Linked DNA regions of Saccharomyces cerevisiae S288C. The gene in region 2 interacts genetically with the main gene of each other region. Each region holds a gene or a part of one and is shown on either strand. Other genes may lie near its edges.

Region 1 (6,320 bases), on a different chromosome or scaffold from region 2:
CAAGAGGATCGGTTATCCAAACACATATTGCTGAATCAGCAAAGGAAATTGCAAAAGCTTCTGGCTGTGATGACGAATCAGGGGACAATGAATACATAACTTTACGAACATCTGGCGAATTACTTCAAGGCATTGTTCGTGTATATTCCAAACAGGCCACTTTTCTCCTTACAGATATAAAGGACACATTAACGAAGATAAGTATGTTATTTAAAACAAGCCAGAAGATGACTTCTACAGTAAACAGACTGAACACTGTAACAAGGGTTCATCAATTGATGTTAGAAGATGCCGTTACAGAAAGAGAAGTTTTGGTCACCCCAGGGTTAGAGTTCTTAGATGATACTACTATACCAGTGGGCTTAATGGCGCAGGAGAATTCGATGGAAAGAAAAGTCCAAGGTGCTGCTCCCTGGGATACTTCACTTGAGGTCGGTAGACGATTCAGTCCAGATGAAGATTTCGAACATAATAATTTGTCTAGTATGAACCTTGATTTTGACATCGAGGAAGGTCCGATAACTTCAAAATCTTGGGAAGAAGGAACAAGACAAAGCTCACGCAACTTTGATACGCACGAAAATTACATACAAGATGACGATTTCCCTCTTGATGATGCTGGAACTATTGGTTGGGATCTAGGGATTACCGAAAAAAATGACCAGAACAACGATGATGACGATAACTCTGTTGAGCAAGGAAGAAGGCTAGGTGAATCAATCATGTCTGAGGAGCCTACGGATTTTGGATTTGATCTGGATATAGAAAAAGAAGCACCCGCAGGCAATATAGATACGATAACCGATGCCATGACAGAATCACAGCCAAAACAAACTGGCACAAGAAGGAACTCAAAATTACTGAATACCAAAAGTATTCAAATCGATGAAGAAACAGAAAATTCAGAAAGCATAGCTTCATCCAATACATACAAAGAGGAGAGATCGAATAATTTATTGACTCCACAGCCCACCAATTTTACGACTAAAAGATTATGGAGTGAAATAACTGAAAGTATGTCCTATTTACCAGATCCAATCCTTAAGAACTTCTTATCCTACGAATCTCTAAAAAAAAGAAAAATACATAATGGGCGAGAAGGGTCAATTGAAGAACCTGAGTTAAACGTGTCGCTTAATCTTACCGACGATGTAATTAGTAATGCGGGAACAAACGATAACTCCTTCAATGAACTGACCGATAACATGTCAGACTTCGTACCAATTGATGCTGGCTTAAATGAGGCTCCTTTTCCTGAAGAGAATATCATCGACGCAAAGACTAGAAATGAGCAAACTACCATCCAAACTGAAAAAGTTCGTCCTACTCCCGGTGAGGTGGCTTCTAAAGCTATTGTTCAAATGGCGAAGATTTTAAGGAAGGAATTAAGCGAAGAAAAAGAAGTAATATTCACGGATGTACTAAAAAGTCAAGCAAATACAGAACCAGAAAATATTACTAAAAGAGAAGCCAGTAGAGGATTTTTCGATATTTTATCACTTGCTACAGAAGGATGTATTGGTTTGAGTCAAACAGAAGCATTCGGAAATATTAAAATAGACGCCAAACCTGCACTATTTGAAAGGTTTATCAATGCTTAAAACCTAGTTACGCCGAGGGGATTTCTTGGTGGACCCAATAAGCTGATGCATATATAGATCAAAGACTTTAATTTATAAAATTGTCAATATTTAATATTAATATTCACAAAATACGATAAAATTCAAACTAATGCGGTAGAGCCACTACTGGCCGCAAGGCAGAATGATCTTGGCAACTCTACACGCTGGTGCATGGGTAGTATTTATTCTAAAACTTGCTGTATTATTTTGAATAGTGATATTAGGAATCGTCTGCCCACGTACACCGGTGAAGCCGAAATTTTCTCATGGAAACCTTGGGAATAGAAGAAAGGTCCATTGTAAGTGCTACATACTGACCATCTTACATAATCTTACACAACCCTGGTAATAAAGCCACGTCTAGAAAGTTTTCCAGGCCAAACAATCTTCTTTTCCATTAGCTTTGGTACATTAGCAGCCAGAGGAAACATTATGCAGTTTTTAAAGGCTCAACTTTTTATCTAATATACAAAACAATAAAGTTGAACAATTTCTGGATAAAGCGCCTAGAACGTCTTACGATATCTTCAAAGAAAATAGAAAAAAATGGAATTTTTAATTTTTAGTTAGAGGAAACTAAACTTCCATCTTCACCTCCTTTAGAATCAGCTACTTTTGTAGATGATCCTTCCTCGTTATTTTTTATCTTCTGTTCATTCTCTTCTTTATCATCATCCGCATCTATATTAGATATCTTTTTATTATATATTTCCATTTCCATCTGGTATCTTTCTCTGTCCTCACTATAAAGCTTATAGTACGGTTTCCTATCTTGTTCGTTAAGATTTTTCCAACCTTCTGCCAGATCTCTTGTCACGTCCAGAGAGCCATTCTGCCTAATCCTTTCCTTATTCATTTCACAGTACAATAAGTATGCATTTGTGGGCCTCTTGGGCATATTCGGATCTCTTTCCTTTACTTTGTGTCTTTTAGTTTTAGATTTTCGAAATGGCTTCGTCAATAGTTCCTGTTTGAAGGAGGCCAGAGTCGGCAATGGATCCTCACAGTTTAACTCAGGATCAAGTTCTATCCTGGATTCCAACCTCTCCAGTAAAACACCGTATTCTAATTTGAGTCTTTTCACCGAAAGTCGTGACCTTTGGATTGCAAGTCCAAGCACCACATTCTGATCTTTCAATTCTTCAAGTCTGCGCTTTTTTTCTTCAACTGACATTTCTTATGTGTTACTATTACCTATATCCTGGCTGCTTCTCATCCAATTCTAGCCCCTAGAACGATTTAATATATATGTGCGTGGTAATCATTTCCTTATATTTTAATTGAAATCCTTCCTTTCTCAGAAGAAAATCTTTTTTCTAAGGAAAATGGAGAACCGTCGGCTCCTTTTGCTTTACTGGTGTATTCTTGTTTTTTCTGTTTGATAATGCGATTTAGGGCGAAAAACTGCTGACAATACCTTGTCCGCTTTCGTGCACAAGATTTCTTAGCACGAAAATATATCAAGTAACCGTAAAATTATTCCTTTGCCGACTATCACCGTAACTGCGGCTAAACAAATCTGTCCAACTACTACTCAGCTTAAATTAGCATTTTAAATACATTTAATATTCAATTAGTCATGGTAGATAGTAATGATGATCAACCGGAACGCCATGCATTACTTCATAATGACATCCAAACATCAAATAACAGTAGGCCATCACTGGTCCAAAAAAAGTACTTACCTACCCCACAAGATACAAGAAAGTCTAGAGCATCGTATACAGGAAGTGCCATGATCAACCCGACAAGTAAACAAAGTCGTACAGGATCGGGCGCTCAAAGAACATCACGCACAGCACAGAAACTAAAACTTTTGCCAGAAGAACCATTCCAAAGAGATAGCGAAAGACTTACTGATTTAAAGAATCAGGAAGTATATTCTCAGGTAAACAGGATAAAAGATAAGCCTGCTAGAAGGGATGCTGAAAAGTTGGGAAAAGCTCACAGACATTTACTCCCCAGGTCAACTGCATATTGTACTGCTAGCAGTTACAATATGAAAGAGCTGGTAAGGTGGTTAAAGGACTGTCGAAAGCTACATCATACTCATCCTAAATTGTTTGATGAATGCTTGTACACTCCCTTCATTTACAACGATTGGAGGGGCGACAAAAGATTTGAGGATGAAGATGTGATTAGGTTGGATGATGAGGGCGGTGAAATTATTGTTAGTGACAAGCACCCAGATCTGTTTATCTTTGAATATGGTGTTGTCGTTATGTGGGGGTTTACTGAAAGAGAAGAAAAAGCTTTCTTAAACGATATAGAAAAGTTCGAAAAAGAAAAATTGGCGGAAGAAGATATTCAAGTTGAAGAGTTCAATTATTATGTCACAAAAAGTTATCAACCAAGAATATATAACGATTTTATTACCTTGAGAGATGGTTCAAATTACATGGTAAAACTCTCTATCTCTCATGCAATTGCTCAAAGCGTAAAAATTTCACTTTTCGAAGAGCTTGTGGATAATACTATTGAAGATACTCAGGATATACCACAAGAAATTGCATACAGCGGTAAAGTTTCTATGAGCAAAGAAGATATAATGAAAAGTATAGGGGAGCTATTCATTTTGAGGATAAATATCAATCTACATGGATCAGTTTTAGACTCTCCAGAAATTATGTGGTCAGAACCACAGTTAGAACCCATATACCAAGCAACAAGAGGTTACTTAGAGATCAATCAGCGCGTTTCACTTTTAAATCAAAGACTCGAGGTCATTTCAGATCTTCTTCAAATGTTGAAGGAACAGCTGGGCCATTCTCATGAAGAATATCTTGAATTTATTGTCATATTACTAGTTGGTGTGGAAGTCCTAATATCGGTGATCAATATAGTGGTTGACATGCTGGCTAGTCAACATTGAGCCTTTTGATCATGCAAATATATTACGGTATTTTACAATCAAATATCAAACTTAACTATTGACTTTATAACTTATTTAGGTGGTAACATTCTTATAAAAAAGAAAAAAATTACTGCAAAACAGTACTAGCTTTTAACTTGTATCCTAGGTTATCTATGCTGTCTCACCATAGAGAATATTACCTATTTCAGAATGTATGTCCATGATTCGCCGGGTAAATACATATAATACACAAATCTGGCTTAATAAAGTCTATAATATATCTCATAAAGAAGTGCTAAATTGGCTAGTGCTATATATTTTTAAGAAAATTTCTTTTGACTAAGTCCATATCGACTTTGTAAAAGTTCACATTAGCATACATATATTACACGAGCCAGAAATAGTAACTTTTGCCTAAATCACAAATTGCAAAATTTAATTGCTTGCAAAAGGTCACATGCTTATAATCAACTTTTTTAAAAATTTAAAATACTTTTTTATTTTTTATTTTTAAACATAAATGAAATAATTTATTTATTGTTTATGATTACCGAAACATAAAACCTGCTCAAGAAAAAGAAACTGTTTTGTCCTTGGAAAAAAAGCACTACCTAGGAGCGGCCAAAATGCCGAGGCTTTCATAGCTTAAACTCTTTACAGAAAATAGGCATTATAGATCAGTTCGAGTTTTCTTATTCTTCCTTCCGGTTTTATCGTCACAGTTTTACAGTAAATAAGTATCACCTCTTAGAGTTAACCTATACTAAAATTTATGCCAGTTAACTATGAGATAAGCAAGTATCATCTCATTTCATTACCTGAAGTCGAGTAAACAGAAAATCCAATTGTTGATGAACCTCAATGACTTAGAACTATCTATCGGCAGATCATATAAAGAGGATTTAGGTACCTAGAGGACTGTACCTGGAGTATATATATATATATATATATATTATCTCAACTATAGTCCATAGAGGTTTCTTTCTTGAGGCCTTAAACTGCTAAAGAATGATATTGGTGGAATGCAAGCACCAAGCGCTCTTCTTGCGTGACTGTTCATATACTTCAAACCAAGAATGTAACTGGCATTGACCCATCCAAAACCTTCAGTAGCTGCCCCTTTAAAGTCAGCACCTTGATTACCGTATTCTGCTTCAACACGATGAGGATCTGTTCCTCTTGTGACATCATATTTTTCAACCACAATACCATTATAATCGACAAAAGCCTTTGTCATCATGAAAAGCCATCTATAAGCTAGCCTATTCGTTACAGTTAAATAACCATAAGAACGGAGGCCTTCCCAAGCAAGAATTTGATGGGGTGCCCAACCAAATGGATAGTCCCATTGTCTAATTGGTCTCGAAATAGAAATTGGGCCTCGAGAACGCTCCGTACATGCAGCTAAACCTCCAAGCATCTCTAACTTGGGTAGTGCTTTCTCCACCATTTTCTGTGCTTGCTCCTTCGTGGCAAGTCCAGCCCATAATGCCCAGAATGTAGTTGCGGATTCGTATGACGTTCTGTGCTTGATTTTTGTGTTGTAGTCAAAGAAAAACCCCGACTCGTCATCCCACATATATTTGGTAATCTTTTCTTGTCTGATTTTGGCCATTTCTTTCCACATAGCTGAAGTTGTTATAGAATGGTCTAAAGGATCTTCATATTTGTCGTCGCAGAATTCCTTTATGAAGTCTGCAATATCAATCTCGTATTTGTAAAGAAGAGAATTCAGGTCAATAGTGGCCAGGTAGGCACATACGCCCTCAAACCTATATGTAGTGTCGTGTCCAGATTCTCTAACGCCACGGTCATGAAGAAAAAACTCATCCAATTTAGGCTCC
Region 2 (6,856 bases):
AACTATATAGAACTGGAACAAATGGATATTGCAAATGTCCTGGCTTCGCAACCGGTAAACTTACACGCTATCAGAAATCTCACTAGCAGGGACCCTGCGGTAACTCCTATCCCATTTTTAAGAAGCCAGATGTATGCAACCAGTAGTCGTCCACCGTATCTAAGGAACCGCTCCATAAGTAGGAAACTACCCAAATCACAACCAGGTAGTCTCCCGACGACTATGCCTGCGACGGCGACGAAAACAATTAAACAGAATTCAACGACCCCAACCACAAGATCTGTTTATAACAAGAATGTGGGGCGGTCCAATACTTCCCCTAGTGTGTTGTACCACCCAAAAAGAAGAGGAAAATTGAACACCAAATCGCATGCAAGAAAGGAGCAACTGCTGTTGGAACTGTGGAGAGAATACTTAATGCTGGTTATAACACAGAGGACGCAACTGCGCCTGACTTTGCTTTGCTCTCCGGGTTCAGCATCGAATGAAAGCTCTGTCTGCTCTTCTAACGCCAGCGACTTAGACATGTCCCTTTTATCTACTCCTTCAAGTCTCTTCCAGATGGCAGGTGAGACCAAAAGCAATCCTATAATTATACCCGACAGTCAAGACGATAGTATACTTAGTAGCGACCCCTTTTAAGTAGGTAACCCCCCCTGGATTGCATAGCCATTGCATAGCCTTAGACATCAAACTTTATTTAATCACATTATCCTTCTATGTATCTTTTTCCCCCGCTCGATTTCTTCTAGAACATTACGGAAAATAAAGGAAAAAAATGACTGGAGCATCGAATCTGTAGACTAAAAAGGTAATGACGCGTTCTTCGTTCCCACAAGTATGTGAAATCGTTTGAACGCTTTTATATACTGATAGGAATAGATTATAATAGTATTCAACATTCATCAAACAGTTTATATCGGTAATAAACCAACCTCACGATACAGTGATTATTTCTCTAAACAACACGAGCCGTACTGTACCTACGATAAAGTAAAACACATTTTTCTTTTGCTACCAGTGGACACAAGATAACGGAGAATGCAACAAAACACGTCTTTATATGACTCTTTGAACGTTACTGCCGCTGCATCCACATCTGAGATTAAGAAAGCTTACAGGAACGCTGCATTAAAATATCATCCTGATAAAAACAATCATACAGAAGAATCCAAGCGAAAGTTTCAAGAGATATGCCAGGCATACGAAATACTTAAAGACAATCGTTTAAGAGCTTTGTATGACCAGTACGGTACCACAGATGAAGTCCTGATTCAAGAGCAGCAGGCGCAGGCGCAACGCCAACAAGCCGGGCCGTTCAGTTCATCCTCAAATTTCGATACGGAAGCAATGTCATTCCCGGATCTATCTCCAGGTGATCTTTTCGCGCAGTTTTTTAATAGTTCTGCTACCCCCTCTTCTAATGGCTCCAAAAGCAGTTTTAATTTTAGCTTCAATAATAGCTCTACGCCGAGCTTCTCCTTTGTTAATGGCAGTGGCGTGAACAATCTGTACTCCTCGTCAGCAAAATACAACTCCAACGATGAGGACCATCATTTGGATAGAGGCCCTGATATCAAACATAATCTAAAGTGCACATTGAAGGAACTCTACATGGGTAAGACTGCAAAGTTGGGTTTGAATAGGACAAGGATTTGCAGTGTTTGTGATGGGCACGGTGGTCTAAAGAAATGCACTTGTAAAACATGCAAAGGGCAAGGTATTCAAACCCAAACTAGGCGTATGGGACCTCTAGTACAAAGTTGGTCTCAAACTTGTGCAGATTGCGGGGGTGCCGGGGTTTTTGTCAAAAATAAAGATATTTGCCAACAGTGCCAAGGTCTTGGCTTCATTAAGGAGAGGAAGATTCTACAAGTCACCGTTCAACCGGGATCGTGTCATAACCAACTTATAGTACTTACGGGCGAAGGTGACGAAGTTATTAGTACTAAGGGAGGCGGTCACGAAAAGGTAATACCTGGTGACGTCGTTATCACCATTTTACGTTTAAAAGATCCGAATTTCCAGGTTATCAACTACTCCAATTTGATATGTAAGAAGTGCAAAATCGACTTCATGACCAGTTTATGTGGAGGCGTAGTTTATATTGAAGGGCACCCTAGCGGTAAGTTGATCAAACTTGATATTATACCTGGCGAGATACTGAAGCCTGGTTGTTTCAAGACTGTTGAGGACATGGGGATGCCCAAGTTTATCAACGGTGTTCGGAGCGGTTTCGGTCATCTATATGTCAAATTCGATGTGACGTATCCAGAGAGACTGGAACCTGAAAATGCTAAGAAAATACAAAATATTCTGGCTAATGATAAATACATTAAAGCAGAACGTTCCACCATGGAAACCGCAGATTCAGACTGCTATTGCGATTTGGAGAAGTCATATGACAGTGTGGAAGAGCATGTGTTAAGTAGCTTTGAGGCCCCTAATTTAAACAATGAAGTTATTGAAGACGACGACCTTGGTGATTTGATTAATGAAAGAGATTCTCGGAAAAGGAACAACCGTCGATTCGACGAAAGTAATATTAATAATAATAATGAAACGAAACGAAATAAATATTCTTCACCGGTAAGCGGTTTTTATGACCATGATATTAATGGATATTGAAGGTTATATAGTCATGCAGTAATGTTATACATTTTCTATTTTTATTTTTTGTATCAGTACTCTATCTATAAGGACATTCCTTTTTTTAAGCAATGCGGAAAGATACGCTATTCTTCCTGTGGATGGTTTACCGCGGTTTGGGTGGTAATATCATTGCAGCCCTAGTCCTTTAGCAGTTTTTTTAGCGTGTAATACATTGTTATTCATCTTTTTCTTAGTGCCTGCCAAGAGATCGTGGGAGGTTACTTAACAGAAAAGCAAAAAAAAAAACCGATTAGAATGTGCATGCCGTTGTTACAGAGAAGCAAGGGAAGTTCACCACTGATCATATTTCTAAGTTCATCAAAATATCGTTTTGGTTTCAGCAGTAGGGATCTTTAACCCAAGTGTTCATTTTCTTTCCTTTTTGCTTTTTATTTGAATGATCTGAACAAAAGGAGAAACATATACTGTACTATTGCGTGAAAACGAACAGAGCACAACCCTCAAGAAAAAAGAGAACTACCCCTTAGTTCCATCTCATTTACTTAAGCAACACTTCCTAATTATTCTCTAATCCTAATAAAAAAAAAGAACTGATGTCGCGGGAGGCATTTGATGTACCGAATATAGGTACTAACAAGTTTTTAAAAGTCACACCTAATTTATTTACCCCAGAGCGATTGAATTTATTTGATGATGTCGAACTATATCTTACGTTAATAAAAGCATCCAAATGTGTCGAGCAGGGAGAAAGGCTGCACAATATAAGTTGGAGAATTCTGAATAAAGCTGTTCTAAAGGAGCATAATATTAATCGATCTAAAAAAAGAGACGGCGTGAAGAACATATATTATGTGTTAAATCCAAACAACAAACAGCCAATAAAGCCAAAGCAGGCAGCAGTAAAGCAGCCACCATTACAAAAGGCCAATTTGCCTCCCACAACGGCAAAACAGAACGTTTTAACTCGGCCAATGACATCACCAGCTATCGCACAGGGTGCTCACGATAGATCCTTGGATAATCCTAATTCTACAAACAATGATGTGAAAAATGACGTTGCTCCAAACAGACAATTCTCCAAATCTACTACGTCAGGGTTGTTTTCAAATTTTGCAGACAAATATCAAAAAATGAAAAATGTGAACCATGTTGCTAATAAGGAAGAACCACAAACTATTATCACTGGTTTTGATACAAGCACTGTTATAACCAAGAAACCTTTACAATCAAGACGCTCAAGATCACCTTTCCAGCATATAGGAGACATGAACATGAACTGCATTGATAATGAGACTTCCAAGAGTACCAGTCCTACTCTTGAAAATATGGGAAGTAGAAAATCCTCTTTTCCTCAGAAGGAATCTTTATTCGGAAGGCCAAGGTCTTACAAGAATGACCAAAATGGTCAACTGTCACTTTCGAAAACATCCTCTAGAAAAGGAAAAAACAAGATATTTTTCAGCAGTGAAGATGAAGATTCCGATTGGGACAGCGTTTCGAATGATTCAGAATTCTACGCTGATGAAGATGATGAAGAGTACGATGATTATAATGAGGAAGAAGCAGATCAGTACTATAGAAGACAATGGGACAAGCTTTTATTTGCCAAAAATCAACAGAATCTTGACTCAACGAAATCATCTGTTTCATCAGCGAACACAATCAACTCAAACACATCCCATGATCCCGTACGAAAAAGTTTACTCAGTGGACTATTCCTTAGTGAGGCAAATAGCAACAGTAATAACCACAATACTGCACATAGTGAATACGCTTCTAAACACGTTTCGCCGACTCCTCAGTCCTCTCATAGTAATATCGGTCCTCAACCGCAGCAAAATCCACCGAGCGCTAATGGTATAAAACAACAAAAACCTTCTTTGAAAACAAGCAACGTGACAGCTCTAGCATCGCTATCTCCCCCGCAACCATCCAACAATGAGCGGTTATCGATGGATATACAAAAGGACTTCAAAACTGATAATGAGTCCAATCATTTATATGAATCTAATGCTCCGCTAACTGCTCAAACTATACTGCCCACCGCCTTATCTACTCACATGTTTTTGCCAAATAACATTCACCAACAACGAATGGCGATTGCCACTGGTAGTAATACGCGACATCGTTTTTCGAGGCGGCAGTCGATGGATATCCCATCCAAGAACAGGAATACTGGGTTTTTGAAGACCAGAATGGAGATCTCTGAGGAAGAAAAGATGGTACGTACAATATCACGGCTTGACAATACGAGTATTGCAAACAGTAATGGAAATGGTAATGATGACACCTCTAATCAGAGAACGGAAGCACTGGGGCGTAAGACGAGTAATGGAGGGCGAATATGATTACTAAGTTAAATAAATCAGATACAGTATTTAAAGTTCTTTCAAAAAAAGATAATGTCATATATTTTACTATCTACGCAGTGAAAGAGTTCCTTCTAATGACACACTATTCACTTCGGGTAACGGATATTGTGTACTGAAAAATATAAAAAATTTTATCCCGGAAATGCGATGAGATGAAAATGCATGAAGTAGCGTATATATTGATTGCATGAGGTTGGACTTGAAAGGGCATATATACTCGGTTTTATCATTGATTCAAGTGTTCCCATAAATAATAAAACAGTTAAATCGAAATGCTAAGAAGACAAGCCCGTGAAAGGAGAGAATATCTATACAGAAAAGCGCAAGAATTACAAGATTCTCAACTGCAACAAAAACGTCAAATAATTAAACAAGCGCTAGCTCAGGGGAAGCCATTGCCAAAGGAACTAGCAGAAGATGAGAGTTTACAAAAGGATTTCAGATATGACCAAAGTTTAAAGGAGAGCGAAGAAGCAGATGATCTACAGGTTGATGATGAATATGCTGCCACAAGTGGTATAATGGATCCAAGAATCATCGTCACAACATCTCGTGACCCAAGCACTCGTCTCTCGCAATTTGCCAAAGAAATTAAACTGCTATTTCCAAATGCTGTCAGGCTGAACAGAGGTAATTATGTGATGCCAAATCTAGTGGATGCTTGTAAAAAATCCGGTACTACAGATTTGGTGGTATTACATGAACATAGAGGTGTTCCAACTTCTTTGACCATATCACATTTTCCACATGGACCCACTGCACAGTTTAGTTTACACAATGTTGTTATGAGACATGATATTATAAATGCTGGTAACCAAAGCGAAGTGAATCCACATCTAATATTTGATAACTTTACTACCGCTTTAGGGAAAAGAGTAGTCTGTATTTTAAAGCACTTGTTCAATGCGGGGCCCAAAAAAGATTCCGAAAGAGTAATCACTTTTGCGAATAGGGGTGATTTCATTAGCGTTAGACAGCATGTATATGTGAGAACAAGAGAGGGAGTAGAGATTGCCGAAGTTGGTCCTAGATTTGAGATGAGGTTGTTTGAACTGAGGTTGGGAACTTTAGAAAATAAGGACGCTGATGTTGAGTGGCAGTTGAGAAGATTCATAAGGACTGCCAATAAAAAAGACTATTTGTGAATTTTTTTATAGATTTGTAAAGGTTAAAATAGAAGGCCGATGAGGCCTTATGTAAGTCTAATATGGTATTCTTAAAAAAAAAAAAAAAAAAAAAGCGTCTTAGAGGGAATATAAGAGAAAAGAAGAGATAGCATAACACATGATTTATTTTTATTTTTGCGTTTTTTTTTTTTCTTAATTGTTTATCAATGTATCTGTGAGAGTATCTACATAAAAAAAATAACCATATGAAGACATAAATTTAAAAGAACAAAACGAACGAAGGGAAGAGGTGCAGAAAGGAAATTTATGTATCACAACTATTAAATTCAGTTGAAAATCCACCATTTGAAACTTTTTTCTTAAGCACTTCACTGACTTTTTCAACTCTTAACTCATGTTCGGAGGATAACGTATTAGAAGAAGACACGTAAGAAGGATCTGTTGATAAAGGCATGGGCTTGCCTATTGCTGTATATGACGAAGATGTCGATAAAGGCGTCTGGGTTGCTAATTCGGGATTACTTGCCAAGTTTGCACTTGAACGCAAAGACGAACTTAACGGAAAGGAAGGATCTAGCATGTCCATGGTTAAATCTTCTTCTTCGCTGTCACTTGATTCTATTTGGAACTTGGGATTCTTGTGCATGTTTGCAACAGGGTCAACGTTTGATAAAATGGATTGTCTTTGAAATAGTATCGAAGATGACCGGTTTTTTGGGGATTTTGCATTGTTATTAGCATTAT

The links. A genetic interaction does not mean that the proteins touch.
Region 1: mutations in MKS1 (region 2) and RMD1 together harm fitness more than expected from each alone (negative genetic interaction), as found in Saccharomyces cerevisiae (2 studies listed by BioGRID).

The regions. Positions count from the first base shown.
Region 1 is NC_001136.10:444,783-451,102, forward strand, and holds RMD1 (Rmd1p), read left to right. Parts: upstream 1-3,201; coding exon 3,202-4,494; downstream 4,495-6,320. Other genes in the region: MCD1 (kleisin alpha), read left to right, coding at 1-1,601; NHP10 (Nhp10p), read right to left, coding at 2,185-2,796; alpha,alpha-trehalase NTH1, read right to left, coding at 5,438-6,320. UniProt on the Saccharomyces cerevisiae protein: Required for sporulation where it is believed to have a role in meiotic nuclear division.
Region 2 is NC_001146.8:480,350-487,205, forward strand, and holds MKS1 (Mks1p), read left to right. Parts: upstream 1-3,206; coding exon 3,207-4,961; downstream 4,962-6,856. Other genes in the region: NIS1 (Nis1p), read left to right, coding at 1-642; APJ1 (Apj1p), read left to right, coding at 1,042-2,628; snoRNA-binding rRNA-processing protein IMP4, read left to right, coding at 5,258-6,130; MLF3 (Mlf3p), read right to left, coding at 6,417-6,856. UniProt on the Saccharomyces cerevisiae protein: Negative regulator of Ras-cAMP pathway. Involved in transcriptional regulation of galactose-inducible genes.